3 linked regions of the Danio rerio genome follow. The protein of the gene in region 1 interacts with the protein of each later gene in a pairwise test. Links are inferred from orthologs where the notes say so. Each region holds a gene or a part of one and is shown in the gene's direction. Other genes may lie near its edges.

Evidence for each region.
Region 2: the proteins of lmo4b (region 1) and rbbp8 interact in binary tests that used the Homo sapiens proteins (3 or more experiments, as listed by UniProt). The link is inferred for Danio rerio from reciprocal best matches to the Homo sapiens genes LMO4 and RBBP8.
Region 3: the proteins of lmo4b (region 1) and grhl2b interact in binary tests that used the Homo sapiens proteins (3 or more experiments, as listed by UniProt). The two-hybrid records come from large-scale screens. The link is inferred for Danio rerio from reciprocal best matches to the Homo sapiens genes LMO4 and GRHL2.

The regions. Positions count from the first base shown.
Region 1 is NC_133181.1:28,416,895-28,420,559, reverse strand, and holds part of lmo4b (LIM domain transcription factor LMO4b), read left to right. Parts: intron 1-2,416; coding exon 2,417-2,513; intron 2,514-2,847; coding exon 2,848-3,003; intron 3,004-3,665. UniProt on the Homo sapiens protein: Transcription cofactor. Plays a role in establishing motor neuron identity, in concert with MNX1, acting, at least in part, to disrupt LDB1-LHX3 complexes thereby negatively modulating interneuron genes in motor neurons.
Region 2 is NC_133199.1:39,963,118-39,966,767, forward strand, and holds the end of rbbp8 (DNA endonuclease RBBP8), read left to right. Parts: intron 1-358; coding exon 359-446; intron 447-553; coding exon 554-695; intron 696-2,746; coding exon 2,747-2,850; 3' UTR 2,851-3,111; downstream 3,112-3,650. UniProt on the Homo sapiens protein: Endonuclease that cooperates with the MRE11-RAD50-NBN (MRN) complex in DNA-end resection, the first step of double-strand break (DSB) repair through the homologous recombination (HR) pathway.
Region 3 is NC_133194.1:13,345,473-13,349,137, forward strand, and holds part of grhl2b (grainyhead-like transcription factor 2b), read left to right. Parts: intron 1-788; coding exon 789-853; intron 854-932; coding exon 933-1,290; intron 1,291-1,369; coding exon 1,370-1,428; intron 1,429-1,533; coding exon 1,534-1,690; intron 1,691-3,665. UniProt on the Homo sapiens protein: Transcription factor playing an important role in primary neurulation and in epithelial development. Binds directly to the consensus DNA sequence 5'-AACCGGTT-3' acting as an activator and repressor on distinct target genes.

The DNA.
Region 1 (3,665 bases):
GGGGAAGATGTCATTTTACAGGTGAATCAAACTGCAGCTTTTAAAGACCTTCCCCCCTGACATTTGCCTAGCATGACTGGCCCATCGACGCCATTGAAGCCGCGCTGTTGTCACAAGCCTACAGCTAATTACGTTTGAAATTGAGTTTTGATTGAGCTGCTCCAATCGATGCCACAGCCAAATTTGTTTTTCCCTCCCCCCTTCACCCTACAGCCACCGCTGAAGAGAAACTCTTAAAGCTTCACTTGCTCGTTGTGTAGCGGCCCCAATAAACACCACACGTGTATGCAAAACATCGCAGGTGACAGCTGTTTCAGTGTCGGAACGCACATGTTCTCATGTGTGGCAGATGTAGTATCAGAGTCTACACAATGCACGTTTACCGGTTTACCAGTTGGAAGCATTTTGAGGGACCAAATCATCCTTGAACTTTTAGGTTAATCTGTAACTGTTTACATACGGAAGGTACTTGCAATGCTTCCCTTTTCCCTCTATCCTTTTTGTGTCTTTTCCCCATTACCCTCCCTCTTTCCTTTTAACAGTCTTTTTCTTTCTTTCTTGCTTCCTTCCTCATATTTCCCTCCCTCTCTCTCTCTCTCTCTCCCTCTCTCTCTCTCCCTCTCTCTCTCTCTCTCTCTCCCTCTCTCTCTTTCTCTCTCTCTCTCTCTGGAGCTTGTCAGATGCTGTGGTCTTATTTGATTGCATAGGAAAAGTGCAGTGATAGAGCAAACAGCCAGTGAGATATGATGACAAATGGGTCCAGATCCCAGTAAATTACTTTCTGCTCAAATCGAAATTTCATTCAGTTTGTTGCTCGGCAAGATGAAGTAATCTAAATTGTGGACTCAGAAGGCAGATAGAAAGGAAGCAGGAGCAAGCATTTCATTATCAAGAGACTGAGTGAGAGAGAGAGAGAGAGAGAGGGAAGGTTAGAGACGAAAGAGATGAGCAGAAGCAAATCTAAAGTGTTGACACCATGATTGAAAAGGTTAACCCATGCACATTATATATCAACCCGGGTAGCCGAGGGTTTCTAATGGAAAGGCGGCAGTGACTGAGCACTCGCTTGAGTCCTAATGGCAAAAGCGCTGTGTCTCCGCCTAGATGTACAATCAAATATTCTTAGGCCCTGATTGCTTATGTTCTAGGTTATTATTAGGTTGCAAAAAATGAGCACCAAAGGTAATACTTAGTCCCAGTGGTAGAGGCTTTTGGAGGACAGGATGCAGGATTTTTTCATTTGGTTTGCGATATTACTATGATTTTATTTTTTCTACATCAGAATATTGAAGATGTAATTTGTTCTGCTTGTGTGTGTGTGTGTCTGAGAGAGAGAGAGAGACTGAGAGAGATTGAGAGAGGGTGAGGAGGAGGCCCTGGAACAAGATTGAAATGATTTAACCTGTACTTGCTCAAGGATTTCATTGTTACAGTAAAACAAGGCCAAACAGGTTAATAAACCTTGCTGATGCACATGGAAGTATTCATTATATTAATGACTGCACTGTCCATATCCAGTGTTTTATTTTCAATCTCAGTCATCAGTAAATGAATGGTTTTGTCATTTAGTAAATTAATGGTTTTGTCATTTAGTCGACAATAGGATGTTATTATGCCATATGACTGACTTTCTAACATAGAAGCCAAAAAGAGATATTTTGATAAATGCTAATGCTGTTCTTTTCCATACAATGAAAGTAAATGGTGATCATAGCTTTTAAGCTCCAAAAAGACAAAAAAAAACAAAAAAAAAAACTGTCTGGATGCAATTTATATGCTTTTAATTGCATTTGTACAAGTAGTTGGTACTGTTATTCAGCAGATACACATTAACCTGACCAAAAACTAAATTCTTAAAAAAAAAAAAAAAAAAAAGTGTAACAATAGTTCTTAATGACCAACAAGGGAGTCTGTATGCAATATATACCCTACAAAAACATTTATCTTCGTGCTTGTAGTTGTTAATGTTTTTCAGAAGCCATGCATTAACTTCAATAAAAGTAAATTATTCTTAAAAACAAAAAAAGAAAATCATTCCTAGCTCAAACTTTTGAATGGTAGTGTAACAATAGTTCTTATTTAATACAGTAGGGTTGTTTAAAGAGCATCATCCAATTAGTTATTGATAAAATGTCACTGAATTGGAAAAAAAATACAAATAAATAAATTGTGGGGACAACTGCAATTGTTTACATGGGTTATATAAATTTATAAATGGACCATATTAATGAGTAAATATTGCTCATGATATGTTGGTGTGACATTATATTGATTGATTGAGATCTACCATATTTTGCTGGTCATTTAAATCATACTACAATTTCATAGATTTCAGCTATTTCGTCTAAGACATATTCGGTGCTCTGGATATATGTTGCTTTGGCACTACTAACATGTTTTCTATTTCTTTTCCCAGGTTATTTGGGAACAGTGGGGCATGCAGTGCGTGTGGTCAGTCCATCCCAGCCAGTGAACTGGTTATGAGGGCACAGGGAAACGTGTACCATCTCAAGGTAACCTTTTATCTAGAAGTGACCACTGCTGCTCTAAAATTAAATGCTCAATTGCATTACAAAATCCTTTCACACTCCACAGAGTTTTCTGATTGTTTGAAGGTGTTCTGTTGAATAGTTTTTCATAAGCTTATAATTGATATCAAATCAAATGCCTTTTATGTACATTTTAATCAATGTTTTCTGTGTCCCTCCACAAAAATAATTGCAAAATAATAAAAAACAAAAAGGAATAATAGCTTCACCTTTCAAGAAAATGTTCTGCAGGTTATGTGTAGGAAGTAATGTGCTAAGGATTGTGTGTAATGTAGTTCTTTTGTTTTGTTTCCTGCAGTGTTTCACATGTTCTACCTGCCGGAACCGGCTTGTCCCTGGTGACAGGTTTCACTACATCAACGGCAGCTTGTTTTGTGAACACGACAGACCCACAGCACTCATCAATGGCCATTTGAGTTCATTGCAGACTAACCCTCTACTGCCTGACCAGAAAGTAAGAGCCATAGTCGGTCATCTAATTGTTCTTATCACTTCACATATCAACATATCACTGCTGGATGGAAAACTTTAAATCTACTACTTGTTAGCTTGGCTTCACATATGGGCAAAAAAATTTTCTTGTGTGATAACAGTTCGCTTAAATCGAAGTTAAATGGAGCTTAAAGGTAAAATCTCATAAGGTTAATGAATGTAAAACAATTAAGGCAACCAGGTATTTTTTTACATTGTGGGAGTATCTTCAGTTAAACAAACAAACAAACAAACAAAACAAATCTATAAAGAAAAAACTGTATGTTGAGATGGCATTATTCACTACACAATTCTTCCAGAAAATATATTGCAGCAATATATTTATTATATATATATATATATATAACTTTGCAAGTGTGATTACGCGATTTAACATTTGACACCTAATCAAGCTTAAATGGAGTTTTTTTTTTATTTATTTACTTATTATTGTTATTATATTATTAGTTTTTTTTATACAAACGCTGGAGAGATGTGCTTTGTCAAACGTAAGACTGTCTTCATCTGAGGCAGTGCATTGCAGGTTATTCCTTTACTTTGTATTTAAGTGGGTGCTCGGTTTTTCTTGTTCTTAAAATATCTATAAGTTTATAAAATAAACTTATTTACGATAATATTGGTAGT
Region 2 (3,650 bases), on another chromosome or scaffold:
ATATTGGTGTCTCCTTAAAATCTTTTTAGAAAAGGGCTCCAGACTTTCTGGAACTGTTCTGGCTTTTGTCTTATTGTGAACCGAATATTTTCTATTCTTAGAGTATGTAAGAGATCCCATTGCCGATAATAAGGGCAGTTTTTTATTTTTTTATTTTTTTAATCCCTAAATATAAATATTATGTCAAAACAATTTTGGATGTGATTAATTGCAATTAATTTTGCCCAGAACTACTTTCAATAAAATTTTACTTTTCTGTAACAACACTGATTTTACAATGTACAATAAAAGAGGGGGAAAAACATTTAAATGATTGTGGTGCTAAAGCCTGAAAATAATCTGAATAACCCTATTCCAGGAATAAGTCTTTCGCTTGTGTGGAGGTTGTGCGTAAGAAAGACGAAAGGAGAAAACTGAAAGGCCACTATTGTAAAGAGTGTGAAGTTGTGAGTCAGTTTGTACACTTTGACCAAACACACGTCTCCTTCTTTTAAATAATCTCAGCACTGATCATTTTAATATTTTTATTAAAACTATGCTGTTGTTGATTCAGTATTATGCAGATCTCCCAGAGGAAGAGAGAGAGAAAAAACTGACTTCCTGTTCACGGCATCGCTACCGCTACATTCCTCCTTCCACACCAGAAAACTTCTGGGAGGTGGGATTTCCATCCACACAGACCTGCGTGGAAAGAGGTACTAAATTTCGTCAGGTTGACAAAGGGAGAAAAAAAGAGGCAAAATGATAAAATATCAATTTTTAAGCTCATTATTTAGTTGGGCTGGATTAGAATAGCATTACATTCATGAAGTTTGAGATTTATTTATGTATTTTTTAATATATTATAATATAATTTTTATATATATATTATATAATTTAATATAATATGAATATAATAATAATGATTTTTCAGTTCATGTATAGAAAACATCCAAAATGCACTTAAAGATGTGACATTAGATTTCAATTATAATCTATATATAATTATATAATTTACATATATATATATATATATATATATATATATATATATATATATATATATATATATATATATATATATATATACATATATATATATATACATATACATATATATATATATACATATATATATATATATATACATATATATATATATATATATATATATATATATATATATATATATATATATATATATAAGCTATTTTTCTCTTCTAAACCATAAAATCTTGCAATGGTTTATTTACATTAATGCAACAAACTAGTCTTATTCATACCTATATTCTGAAGGGTTTTTACACAGGGATGTGTTCATGCATAATTTTGTATAGTTTTATACATCATTTTATTTTACAAGAAAATTGTGACTTTTTCTGACTGCTCATACTGTTTTCTAAAGAATGACAAAATATATATCGTATAACGTATAACATTTATAATATTATTGATATTTATAACATATAACATTTATAATATTATTCATATTTATAACAAATAACATTTATATTATTATTCATATTTATAACTTATAACATTTAGAATATTATTCATATTTATAACGTATAAAATGTAGAATTATTGACATTTATAACGTATAACATTTATAATATTGATATTTATAACGTATAACATTTATAATATTTATATTTATAATGTATAACATTTTTAATATTATTGATATCTATAACGTATAACATTTATAATATTGATATTTATAACGTATAACATTTATAATATTGATATTTTTAATGTATAACATTTTTAATATTATTGGTATTTATAACGTATAACATTTATAATATTGATATTTATAACGTATAACATTTATAATATTGATATTTATAACGTATAACATTTATAATATGTATATTTATAATGTATAACATTTTTAATATTATTGGTATTTATAACGTATAACATTTATAATATTGATATTTATAACGTATAACATTTATATTATTGATATTTATAACGTATAACATTTATAATATTGATATTTATAACGTATAACATTCATATTATTGATATTTATAACGTATAACATTTATAATATTGATATTTATAACGTATAACATTTATAATATTGATATTTATAACGTATAACATTTATAATATGTATATTTATAATGTATAACATTTTTAATATTATTGGTATTTATAACGTATAACATTTATAATATTGATATTTATAACGTATAACATTTATATTATTGATATTTATAACGTATAACATTTATAATATTGATATTTATAACGTATAACATTCATATTATTGATATTTATAACGTATAACATTTATAATATTGATATTTATAACGTATAACATTTATATTATTGATATTTATAACGTATAACATTTATAATATTGATATTTATAATGTATAACATTTTTAATATTATTGGTATTTATAACATATAACATTTATATTAATATTCATATTTATAACGTATAACATTTATAATATTATTCATATTTATAACGTATAACATTTATAATATTATTCATATTTATAACGTATAACATTTATAATATTATTCATATTTATAATTTATAATGAATGAATGAAAAATGCACACCTAATGTGAAATGGCCGCTTTACATCATGACCACCTCAGATGTGCATTGTTTTTTTTTTTAACCAATACATCAATGGCCATTCTTCTGTTATTCCTTATTTGTGTATATCGTAGTCGGAGATTTGCTGTATATGAATGCATTGAAACATTTAAGTAATGTTCATCGCTTTATTTCTCCCCACAGGATACATCAAAGAGGATGAGCAGCCGGACGTGCGAATTCGCAGGAGACGACCGTACCTTGCCATGTTTTCACCCAAAGCCAAATCACAAAAAAAGAAGCACTGAGTCGAGCTGTTCACACACTTAAAAACCACTCTGACACCTCATGGATCGATATGAAGCACAGTCTGCTTATGCCCCGAGTCACATCTGCTTAAAACAATCTATGTGCGTTTGTGTTTAAGTAATTCATTTTCAGATTTTAAGAAATCACCTTGATTTTGTAATGGGAATTCAGAAATAAGTAAAGAGTTTTTAGTTTTGTACATGTGATTTTGACTAAGAATTGAATAATTCTGTAATAAAAATTAAAAGTGATTTCATTCATCTTCCTTCGATTTAATCCCTTTGTTCATCAGGGGTCGCCACAGTGAAATGAACCGCCAACTATTCCTAAACTATGTTTTACACAGCAGATGCCCTTCCAGCTGTAACCCAGCTTTGGGAAACACTCTTACACACATTTTTATTAGTTATTTATATTTTCTCCTGTTTTTCTATTTACTCTTGTTTAGTTTGTTATTTTTATACTAAAGTTAACTTTTTATTGATTTCAAATAGCAAAAGTGGGTTTCATCTTTTTTTAAATCCCATTTTGGCAACTTATGGGCCTAAAAACACAGTGCATCACATAACATTGAAAAAGTGACTCAACACCGTTATGCAAAAATACAATAAATGCAAGTGTCTAATGTTTCAAATAATTTTTTGAATATTGGTAAAATTCATTGTAACATTTACGTAAACATACTAACTGTGATCTGTATTATAAAAGCAGATGTAATAAGTGATTATGCCACATTTTAATTAAAAAAAAAAAAAAAAAAAAAACTTTACTAACAAATGGATAAAAGTTATTGGTTTGA
Region 3 (3,665 bases), on another chromosome or scaffold:
CACCTCCATTGCTTTTTCAATGACATCTGAATTTCTAATCTTACAGATGAGATGTAAGTGCATATATTCAATTCAAATCAGTTTTATTTCCAGATAAAAACGAGACCTGAAACTGATGAGAGAATATCAGAATCCATGTGTTTTTTTTCCGTAAATGTTAGTGGGTCATATAAGATCTGTGCCACATGAAAGATACAAATTGCAATTGGTTTACTTGAACTGTAATGTTATAATGATGCTATAGATGTTCAGCATTCTTTGATTTTTCAGCTTTGAGCTTTTGACCTATGAACAAAAACATAATTAGATCATAATTATGTCACTTTACCTCATTATCCAAAACATACGAGCGCATTAAAAGGACAGTTCACCCAAAAATGAAAATTCCTACTCATCCTCAACTTGGTCTAAACCAGTTTGAGTTGCATTCATTTATTGTACACAAAAGAAGGTATTTTGAAAAATGTTGGAAACCAGTAACCATTGACTTCTATAATATATATTTTTTTCTACTGAATGTCAATGGCTACCAGTTACCAACATTCTTAAGAAAATCTTATTTTTAGTTCAACAGGAAAAAAAATCATAAACCACTTGGATCTGATTAAATATTGAGTACATTTCTATTTTAGGTGAACAATCTCTTTAAAGATATGGTGAAATAATGCTTCATCTTATTATGGAAGTTACAGATTAAAAGTCACTCCGGAAGCAATGAGATTATCACTATGGAGTGATAAACACTGAATAATCAGTGCTTCTGTACATCAATGTTTTATCTTGTACAGGTGCCCAAAGATAAGAGAGTACCTATCAGCAAAGTGGTTGAAATGTCAGACGAACCGGAAAAGAGGTCGGTGATAAATATGTTTAATAAATGCTTTTGTTATTACTAAAAAAATGCACAGAATAACACTTCAATAATTTTTCAGAAGCACACCAGTGGGAAACAGCAGCCAAATGGAGCCGGAGACGGTGGATAATCATGTCCAAGTCCTGAAATCAGTGCCTGTTAATCTGTCACTCAACACGGATCACCAGGACAATAAACGGGAACAGTACAGCGTGCCGGCTGGAGAGAGCGGGACGGCTGCTGTGGTAAAAGCTGAAGCGCACACTGCTGTCTTTATGACTTCAGGGGGACACTACAGGACAGAAGGGGAGGAGCAGATGCGGGTCATCTGTGAACAGACCCACTCATTCGACACCTCCACCATAAATCACAGTGCATATGGAAAAGATGACCATCGCAGTAGTCCAGAAAGCACATATGAAGATGACAGCAATGAAGTGAGAACGAATTCATATCTGAAGTCTATAAAAGTTTGCCATAAAATGTATTTATTTATTTGTTTATTTATTTTTGCAGAAGTACCGCTCGTCTTCGATTGGACCTGATGACTTCATTTTTGACCAGTCACATATGTTGTAAGTGTTATAACTAGTGTATTATATAAAATAATATTCTTTTATTATTATAATGATTTATCTCTCACACACCTAAAAAAAACATGCTCTAATGTTGTTCAACAGAGACACATTTCAATACACACTAGAGGCCAGCAAGTCATTGCGGCAAAAGCAGGGCGAGGGGCCTATGACTTATCTGAACAAGGGCCAGTTCTATGCTATTACACTAAGTGAGACAAGTGCTAATAAACGCCTTCGACATCCCATCAGCAAAGTGAGGGTGAGTGGCTACATACTACTTCTATTTATTTATTTAAGCAACCTGACATGGTAAGTTTTGTTTGTGAGTTTTAATTAACTTTCATATCATTATATTAAGTATACTAATTTATTAAAAGCTCTAAATCGCGTCAAGTTTAATTCAAAATGACCTTTATTGTCATTACGGTACATGTGTGGGCATAAAGTGGAAGGAAATGTTGTGTCTTGCTGGACCACGGTTTTGCATAAATAAACACAATAGTAAATATAAACACAACACTGGATGTAAGCTGTAACTAACATTCTGGAGCGGTAATTATTTTTTACTTTTTTCTTTTTTTTATTAAATGAATACTTCAGTTTACAAGGATAAAATATATTATTTAAAAATAAATGTGTAAATGAGATTAATAATGTTACAAAAGAGTTCTATATGAATTAAATGGAGTTCTTTTGAAATGCATATTTATTAAACAATCCTGAGCAAAATTGGCAAGTTTCTAAAATGCTTTAGCACGTATTATTTTTAGCTGTGATAACTAATGATGACTGTTGTTGAAAATGTAGGTTTGCCTTTAAATATTTTTTTCTATTTTAAAAAATATATATTTTTCTATTTTATAGGAAAATCTAAGGGAAATGAACTTATAAAAACAATTCACAATGTTACTTAATTATATCAAACCCAGTCATGGTTGTTGAGTATGTGCAGGGTTCCCACGGGTCATGGAATTTTTGGAATATCATGGCATTTTAATAGGATTATTTCAGACACTGAAAGTCAAGGAATTTTCTTTTTTATCTTTGTCATGTAATCTATGGTTTTAAAGGGCACCTATGATGAAAATCATCTTTTGTAAGCTGTTTGGGCAGAACTAGGTATAGTGTGTCCAAAGTCATATTGGGGTGATCTAAATACAATAAGTCTCTTTTTTTAAATTTTCTGACGTTAAATTAGGATCCAAATCCCTCCTGTTTTTAGGCCCACCGCATAGGACATAGGAGTGCAGTTTTCCCGCCCACCAATTTGATTGACAGCCACATATTTACATATCTCCATAGTAACGAGTATAATCATATCAACAAGACAGGACGTGTGCAAAACAACTGGGATTAAAAGATCTTTTGAGCTCTCTGTGCTCGTTAATCATCATCAAATGTAATTAAGAATGAGTTTTACAAGTTTAAAACAGTGATTGTTTGTAATAAAGTAAGTTAAAGACGGTAAAATTACTATAATTCATCACCACAGCCGCATGTTAGTACAATTATAAAAGACAACGCTTCAATCCTGGTTTGTGGACGTTAAATCAGGTTTATTTTTGTACATCAACATAACAAATATTCATATTGCAGTGGATATTAACGTGTATCCTGTCACATTTGTTGTGCAATAACAGTGCAAAGTTAAACTCGCTCGCTGTGTGTGTCTGCTATGTGTGTGTGTCTGTATGTGTGTGCGTGAACTTTGTAATGACTTTGTGTGTGACTCATCGTTGCAGAAAGGCTTGAATTAACTCCACAACAAATACATCAAATAATCATTGGGAAAGTTCTTACTGTAGTATTTCTCACAAACATTACAAGAGATCTGCTTCCTTCTTGTCTGTCACTGTGCTTTTTATCTAACGGAGCCAGAGATTGAAAACGCACAAGTTTTGCTACAGTTATGCCATCCGTCCACACTACGCTGGAGTTTTCGAGTGCCAAAAACCGAGCATTTTGGAAACGCTGGAGAGGCCGCTTTCATTCTAAAACGCTGCTGCTCCGTCTCAGTGTGGATGAGGGAAAACGGAGACATCTGAAAACGGCGGGGCTGCCAAGATTCGCTAGCTGATTGGGGCTTTTGTCTCATTGCGTAACCTTCCCTTATTCGTCAAGCCCCTATCACATGACTATAACACATGGCTTCAACTCTACCGGAAGACAACAGACCAGCCTTCACTGTAAACAACAACATGGACACAGAAATGGGAGCACTGTTTGCACTATTG